2 linked regions of the Coturnix japonica genome follow. Each later gene encodes a partner of the first gene's protein in a complex. Links are inferred from orthologs where the notes say so. Each region holds a gene or a part of one and is shown on either strand. Other genes may lie near its edges.

Region 1 (3,648 bases):
ACCTCTCCCCACTGTGACAAATACACTTCCCAAATACAGCTTAATTACCTGCACAGCGTGAGACAGATCCGACACCAAGCAGTGTCTCAGCTTTTCATCGCTTCCTATTCCTTGCAGAACAAAGTCGGGGACGTACGATGAGCAGTAACCTCCGAGTAAGGAGCGTCCAAAATTGGCAATACTGGGCTGGACAGAGTTCACTTCAACCAGCTTTGACCTGCAAGAAAGGCGCTTCAGAGAGATGTGCAACAGAAAACACCAAATTCAGCTCAGGAAGAGGTTGCAGCCTCATGTTTCTCATATCTACTCTTACTTCCATTCAAGAGCTTTCTATAAGAAAATAAACAGTTTAAACTCAGCTCATCACGGAAAAAAAAAAGATACAAGCCAAGATCACAATACACAATGAATATCTTTTTCCAGACCACTGATCTCTCCATATTCTTTTACAGCCAGTGAGCTCCAGAGACGCTTTTCCAATCGCCGATGCCAAGTTAGCCTACATTCCTCCAAACATGTGACATGAGAAAAGGCTGCATCTTTTCTGGGCTCTTACAGCTGAATGGTACTTACCCAGGAAAAGGAATCTCATATTCTTCTGCCCAGTCTTCCTGCTCTCCTCCATAGTAGTTACTGCTCGGTCTGGTTAGCTCATGACCTGTGTCCTCACTTTCACTGTCACCCAGGGCGCTGTCTGAGCTCTCATTTCTTGGAATGTCCCAATCAATTCCCGGGGCCACCTTTTTCTCTGCGTTTTCTCTGTCCCCATGGGGGACACGAATAGAGATGTTCTCTCTTTGGTCCTGCTCAGCAAAGCAGTTTTTGTAGGTCTCCTGTCGCACGGAGTCCATAAATTTACCAAATTCGCTGGGTGTTTTGCTAGTCTTTGCACACAGCTTTTTAGAGAACTCTAAACCGCCATTGTGAGTGAGAAGCTCTGCAGCTGCTTGCCCTGGAAGATCATCAATAGTCCGGGTTTCAACTGAGCCATCATCAGTAAAATTGTCATCAAACAGACTCATGCTCTCAGCGCTGTACGCGTTTGCATTCCAGCTCTGATGCTCACCAGCAACTTGAGGAAAGGGTTCAGCTGTCCCACAGTCTCTATTTTGGTCCTCAACAGTTTGTTTAGCTTCACAGTTCTGATCAGCAGACACTCCTTCCTCCGCTGCTGGCGGGCTGTGGTGCCTGGCAATTTGTTCCACGACTGCCTGGCTTCTGAGCTCTATGTCTGAGTCAGGTGACATGGAGTCTCCGATGAGGAAAGTCACCTTTGTCTGAGCTTCGGCAGCGCTGCAAGGAAAAGCGTCACAGAAGAGCTTATCTGGAGGTTTCTTTTCCACAGCTATCCCGGGTGACCTCGTTGCACCGATGGCCTGGCTGCCTGCTTCCAGCACGTCTTCATTCCTCCACACATTTGCTGTTGCTTCCAAACCAGATTCTGCCAACACACGTTTCTCTGGTGAAGATGACCCTGTGCACACCACGCTCTCTAGTTTAGTGTCCTGACAGGTTCTGGGTTGACGACCATCAGCAGCATCTTCCTGACCATCATCAGGAACAATAGTTCTGCTCTCATCTGAAGAAGTTTCCAGCTCCACCTTAGGAGTGTTTTGTGCGTCTTCTCTCTCTTGCTGTGAAACACCTTCTATGTTTTGTGCAAGAGAAATCGGGCATTTGCAGTTTTTACAGCTGCAGTTAGGAGTTCTCATTTCCTCAGACTCCTTTGGTAGCAAGTTACCCCTGTTCTTGTGCATTGTGACAAGCACATACTCTGATTCTTCTACTTCTCCTTTCTCCAGCGTGGTAGTTATAACAGTTCCAGGCATGACTATGGCTTCATCTTCCCCATTTTCTAGCAGATGCGTCTCCTGAAGTTCCGAGCATCTGATGAAGTAAGTGAGGAAATAAAGCAGCCTCTGTACCAGATCGTGTCTTTTGCCAACCACAACTGTTTTGGCTAATCTCACGGGTGATCCAATGGCCCCATACAGGTCACCTGGAACAGGAAATAAAAGGCGATTATTTTGCATCTTCAAAATGAACTCTTCTAACAGGCAGCTGTTGTGGCCATCTTTCAAAGGCAAGGCCCACAACAGAAGAATAGTGAGGACAGCTATGCTGTTATTCTGTTTTCAATACAGAAATTTCTAACGAAGCTGTTGGCATCATAAGTAAGATGACACGCTGGCCAGGGGGACATCTGATCTCACATAATAGGGAGTATTTGCACCACCTCACTTCAGTCCCAAGCTCTGGACGCTGGTCCATATTCCATATATAGTCATGGGAGAGAGGAGGCATCTGCTCTGAATTACCCTGGATAGCCTGGAAACTGGGCTGAACTTTTACCTACCAAAAGAAAGCCGTAAGGGGACACAAACCTATGCCAAGAATGTAGGCAAAAAGTGCCAGTGGCAGGTGCACAGCCGAAGCCAACCTTCTCTTCTCTCCCCCTGAGCTCTCCTATGGGTCAGATGGGCTGTTCTGGCAGCTTCGAAGACCAGTCTCCAGATTCACCTATATTATTCTGGAGGTATGAGGACACTGCATGAGAGCATGGAAAAGGGACATGGGATCTGAGAGGCGCTGAAGGCCAGCGCAACAACAGGAGATCCCTTGAGTCCCATCAGCTCTGCCATCATTCTCCTTGCCAAAAACCTGGCCATCCCTGCCTGTTCTGGAATAGGGTAACCTCAGAAAGCCTTCCCTTCCCCATCCAAGTGGAAGTTTGCGTGCAGAGCGAGACAACCTGCCTAGAGAGCAAGAATATCATCCTTTCTTCTCTACTCAGCAATTAAAGACAACACAACTCAATCAGCTGGGCTTTGAGACCTTACCCAGGTCCTGATTTCCTGTACTGTGTCACTCCTTTGCCCGTTGTGCTCATGGTATCTCCATTTCTCACCAAAAGATGGATTTTTCTAAATGTGCTTTTTCTAGAATCAAGCTTATCGATAGCAGCATCCCAAATAAATCAAAATGGAGTTTCTTTACAGAGGCGGGACAAGAGAAGGAACAGAATCCTCCATCATCACCAGGGCAGGAGATTTGTCACAGATGACTTTTTGGCTGCCATTTTACAATTGATACTGCCTTAAGAAATTATAGCACATGAAAAAAGAAAAAAAATAAATAAATGCAGTGAATATCTCTGAGCCTGAAATACACGCTTTAGTTTTGAGTAGGAAAAGAAACAGATAATTTCAGCTTGGATGGGGGGATGTACCACACATCCATGAATACCACCAGTTGTACTCCTTCACATAGTTTAAAGGTATTTGCCACGTACCGAGCTGTGCCCACAGCGGGTTGTATGGGTGAGTTTTGGCCAGCATGTCCACACTCTGGGAAGAATGCTTTTCCAGGAAGATCCGTATAGGCGGCTGTCCATTGGGCATCACCGTGGGGACCCAGGCCAGGTGGTTTGTCAGCACTGCGGTCAGGAGAGCTGGTAAAAACCTGAAGGCAAAATGTACAGTAGTGTGTCAAACAGACAGCACTTCCATGCTTCACATGGATGTGGGTGGCTAACAAAGCGATGGAGGTCATTCCTTAGCTCCTCTCCTCCCACATGCTCAGAGCTCTTGTTTAGAACATGCATTTCAAGTCAAATGAAAGACTTTAAACTTGTCTCAGCTCCTCTGT
Region 2 (3,748 bases), on another chromosome or scaffold:
CAGCATGTACAGAGCATTCAGTTTTAAACCTGAAAAGTGTTTTCTCTTTTTCTTTTCTCATAAAGAAACAGATTTACTTCATGTATCGAAAGTTTATCGAGATGACCGTCTCCGAAAGAAAGCAGACTCCATGTCCATGGAAAACTGCAAAGAACTCGAACGTTTGACCAGCCTCTATCGAGGAGGATGAACTGCTTTCGTATGCATCTCTCCTGTAAATTAAGAAGAGATTTAGTTTCACCGTGAATGCTGGAAAAGAGGGTGGATGTAAAACTCTACTGTGTAGCTGTTTCCAGAAACCTTAAGCTGAAATATCATGTAACGGCTTCTTTACCTACTGTGAAATATAGGTAACTTTAATTGTCTAGATTTTACTTCGAAGCTTCTGTGAATTCTTTCAGCAGAGAGAATAGCTTAGAAAGGATGCTATACTTGTAGAAACTTAGTCATAGTGGTTCTCCTCTAACATATTTGCCATGTAAATATCTGTGGAAAGAACATTTTGTGTATATACGAGTTAAATGACTTTCTATTTAAAACCTCAGAAGTTTAGTTCCATACAACATTTTGTCTCACCGATGGAATAAATAGAGTCTGGTTACATCACTCCAATTCAGATGTCGAGCGTGTGGAGTTGGAACGAGGATTTGTAATGTTTTATCTCTATGTAACATCTTCTAGGCCCGCCAGCTTAGAGGAACTGGGTATTTTTAAATATAACAGCATATATTCCTAATGGTCTGCTGGGCTGCGTTCATCTGGTGTAGCACAGCAGTCAGTTGTTGTGGTTATTTTAGTGTTTCTAAGCCATGCTGAGAAAACTGAAGGACTGCACTCAGCTCTTTGCCTGGTGACTGTTGTATGCAGGTTCTGTACTGACCATGGTAAGCATTGCATCTAGTGCTCGTGGCAGCTGTACTGACCATGGTAAGCATTGCTCTTAGTGCTCATGGCAGCTGTACTGACCATGGTAAGCATTGCTCTTAGTGCTCGTGGCAGCTGACGGTAGCTCTCTCATTTGGTATCCAGTGCTATAGTAAATCCATACGTATGGCTAACATGCATAGAGCTTCCTTAATTGTCACTGGGAAGACAGAAGAAAACGTGAAGGGAAAAAAAAAACAACAACTTATTTATTTTTTTCCTGGGAAACTTCCATTTTCCTGCTGTGTTTTGATTTGGAGATAGATCCTGATGGTGACTTGTCAATGGGCACCACAGGTGGAACAGAGACATCCAGCTGAGCCTTGTGCCTGTCAGTTCTTTGGCCGGTTGTTTCAGTGCTCACTGCTCGTGCTGCTGTGCTCAGAGCCGCGTCACTTGTTCAGGGCTGGAGGTAGAGGTGGTTGGGGTGTTGCAGGTCCGTTTATTTGGGCCTGAATGCTGCAGGATTGACGTGGAAATGATCAAACACACTGTGCGGCTCCTCCATCCAGCACCACGTACCTCAGTGAGTTACTCCGGACCCGCAGGTGGCGCTGTGTCCCGGCGCCGGGCGGTGCCGTCGCCCCGCTGCCGTCCCGCAGTGCGCACGCTCGGCAGCGCCGGGCCCAATGATCCGTGCCGAGTGAGGAGGCGCTTCGCGTCGTGTCAGCTGACGGGACTAAGGGAAGTGCGGCCGGGGCGGTCAGGTACGGCAGGGCCGCCAAGGGGGATCGGCCACAGCCCGCTCTGCTGCCGCGGCGGGGCGGGAGGAAGAGGCCCTGCCCGGCCCTGCCCTCCTCCGCTCCGTGTGCCGCCGCTGAGCGGGCGCCTCTCGTCCCGTAGGGCCGCCGAAGGGGCAGCAGCGCCGCGAGGCCTCCAGCCATGGCCGATGTAAGCGGGGCGGGGCGGTTGGGCTGCGGGGGGCCGGGATGCGCTGCGGGTCGTGTCACGGCGCTGTCTGTTCCCGCAGGACCTGAAGAGGTTCCTCTACAAGAAGCTGCCCAGGTAACAGTTGCTCCATTCGCATCTCCCCCTCCGCCTTGTGCCGCTCTGAGCCCGCCCTGCCGCTTCCTTTCACGTGCCTGCCCCGTGCGCGGCTGTTGGTGGCGGTGGGTCAGTAGATGAGTCATATGCAGCAGCTGTGCCCTTTGTAATTATCGCTTCCTTCTGCAGCGTCGAAGGTCTCCACGCTATTGTGGTGTCGGACAGAGACGGGGTGCCTGTCATCAAAGGTAACGGCAGTGTGCAGCATCCAGTGTGCAGCATCCAGCTGTGTGTGTGCTAATTCCTCCTGGGTTTGGTACCGTCATTTCTAGCCCATCTCAGTCCTCCTTCAGGATCCCTCTGCGGTGCAGGTGAACTGGTTTAAGCACAGCAAGGTTCGGTGTTGCTATTTGGTGGTGTTTCTTAGTGGTTCATAGTACTTATGCAGCCAGCTGGACATGCACATCTCCATCCGCCTCCCCTCTGGTGGCTGTTTGGCAGCAGTCAGTTCCCAGAGCGTGTCCCACAGCACTGTATGTGGGATGTGAACTGGAGTGCTGTGCTGTGGTCACAGGTCACCTGCAAGGCATTAAACAATCTGCTGCCCTTGAAGACTGTGCTTGTTGTGAAGGCACAGGCGATGTCTTATGTGTTTCTGACACCACGTAGCTTTTGGGTTTGTTTGTGATGCAGTCATTGATACCATGTTAAAGCAAAAACTTTCTTGTTCTGCCCCAGTTGCCAATGATAACGCACCAGAACACGCCCTACGACCCGGCTTTCTGTCCACGTTTGCCCTTGCAACGGATCAGGGCAGTAAGCTGGGACTTTCCAAGAACAAAAGCATCATCTGTTACTACAACACATACCAGGTGAGTGACCGCAGCCTGGGGCCGGAGCTCCTCGTGTGTTACCATGAGCATCATGGGAGAGAACATGGTGGAAACTCTGCTTGATTTCCACTTGGCTCTTGGTGCTTTAATTCCCTTGTTAAAGCTGGCTAAGCTACATTCTTGCGCTTTATTGAACTCTTAAATGCTTCTCAAGGCTGAGAAGGCTGGCGGGTTGAAGTTGGTCGAGTTTTCTGTGCAGCTGGCGACCAAGCACCAGCAGGTGGTGCTGCTGATGTGCCTTCAGACTGCCACGAAGGGCTTATGTTCTTTTTGCATAGGGTATTTGTTTATTACTAACACAGATAAACGAGCACGTGCAGCTCACTTAACAATTAATATTGCTGTTAGAAGGACTTCAAGGTAAGAAAACGCTGAAATATCTACTTGCCGTTCTTACAAGCTGGATATTTGCACTGTGAGTTTTTTGTTACCTACCCAGTGTCTGCTCATAAGCCTGCCTGCCCACTTGATACCTATATAAAGGAGCTTCCACAGAGCACTCAGCTTCCTGCACTGTGCTGCCAGCTTCATTAGCACGTTTATCTGTGGCACCCACTGTGTGTTGGCTGAGGGGTAAACTGCTTCTCTCTCTTGCAGGTGGTGCAGTTCAATCGCTTACCTTTGGTAGTGAGCTTCATTGCCAGCAGCAATGCTAATACCGGTACGTCTCCAGGTGGCTTTAAATGTTTGCAGTATTTTAAGCCCCGAATGTTTTAAATATTTGAAAGTAAATAGAGTTTTCTTCAAGGTGCATTAACTTTTCTCCTTAATGTGTCGGAATATACTGAAAAGTTGGGAGATGCACAGGTAAAGACCCATAGATTCTGGGTGACCTGCTGAGGTTATGATTCCATTAGAAATGCTATGGAAAACCATTCCTGAGACTTGGAAGCTTTTGTAAGAGTGCTTCTCTGGTTTGTTGTTTGATGGATGTTGCGTCTCTTGTC

The links. The genes of interacting proteins can lie anywhere in the genome.
Region 2: FNIP1 (region 1) and LAMTOR3 share a complex: the UniProt entries of both Homo sapiens proteins name them as parts of the lysosomal folliculin complex. The link is inferred for Coturnix japonica from reciprocal best matches to the Homo sapiens genes FNIP1 and LAMTOR3.

The regions. Positions count from the first base shown.
Region 1 is NC_029528.1:1,574,748-1,578,395, reverse strand, and holds part of FNIP1 (folliculin-interacting protein 1), read right to left. Parts: intron 3,463-3,648; coding exon 3,293-3,462; intron 2,000-3,292; coding exon 574-1,999; intron 218-573; coding exon 49-217; coding exon of another isoform or gene 1-48. UniProt on the Homo sapiens protein: Binding partner of the GTPase-activating protein FLCN: involved in the cellular response to amino acid availability by regulating the non-canonical mTORC1 signaling cascade controlling the MiT/TFE factors TFEB and TFE3.
Region 2 is NC_029519.1:54,082,916-54,086,663, reverse strand, and holds the start of LAMTOR3 (ragulator complex protein LAMTOR3), read left to right. Parts: upstream 1-1,517; 5' UTR 1,518-1,631; intron 1,632-1,767; 5' UTR 1,768-1,806; coding exon 1,807-1,815; intron 1,816-1,894; coding exon 1,895-1,929; intron 1,930-2,097; coding exon 2,098-2,156; intron 2,157-2,646; coding exon 2,647-2,780; intron 2,781-3,398; coding exon 3,399-3,462; intron 3,463-3,748. Other genes in the region: DNAJB14 (dnaJ homolog subfamily B member 14), read left to right, coding at 66-190. UniProt on the Homo sapiens protein: As part of the Ragulator complex it is involved in amino acid sensing and activation of mTORC1, a signaling complex promoting cell growth in response to growth factors, energy levels, and amino acids.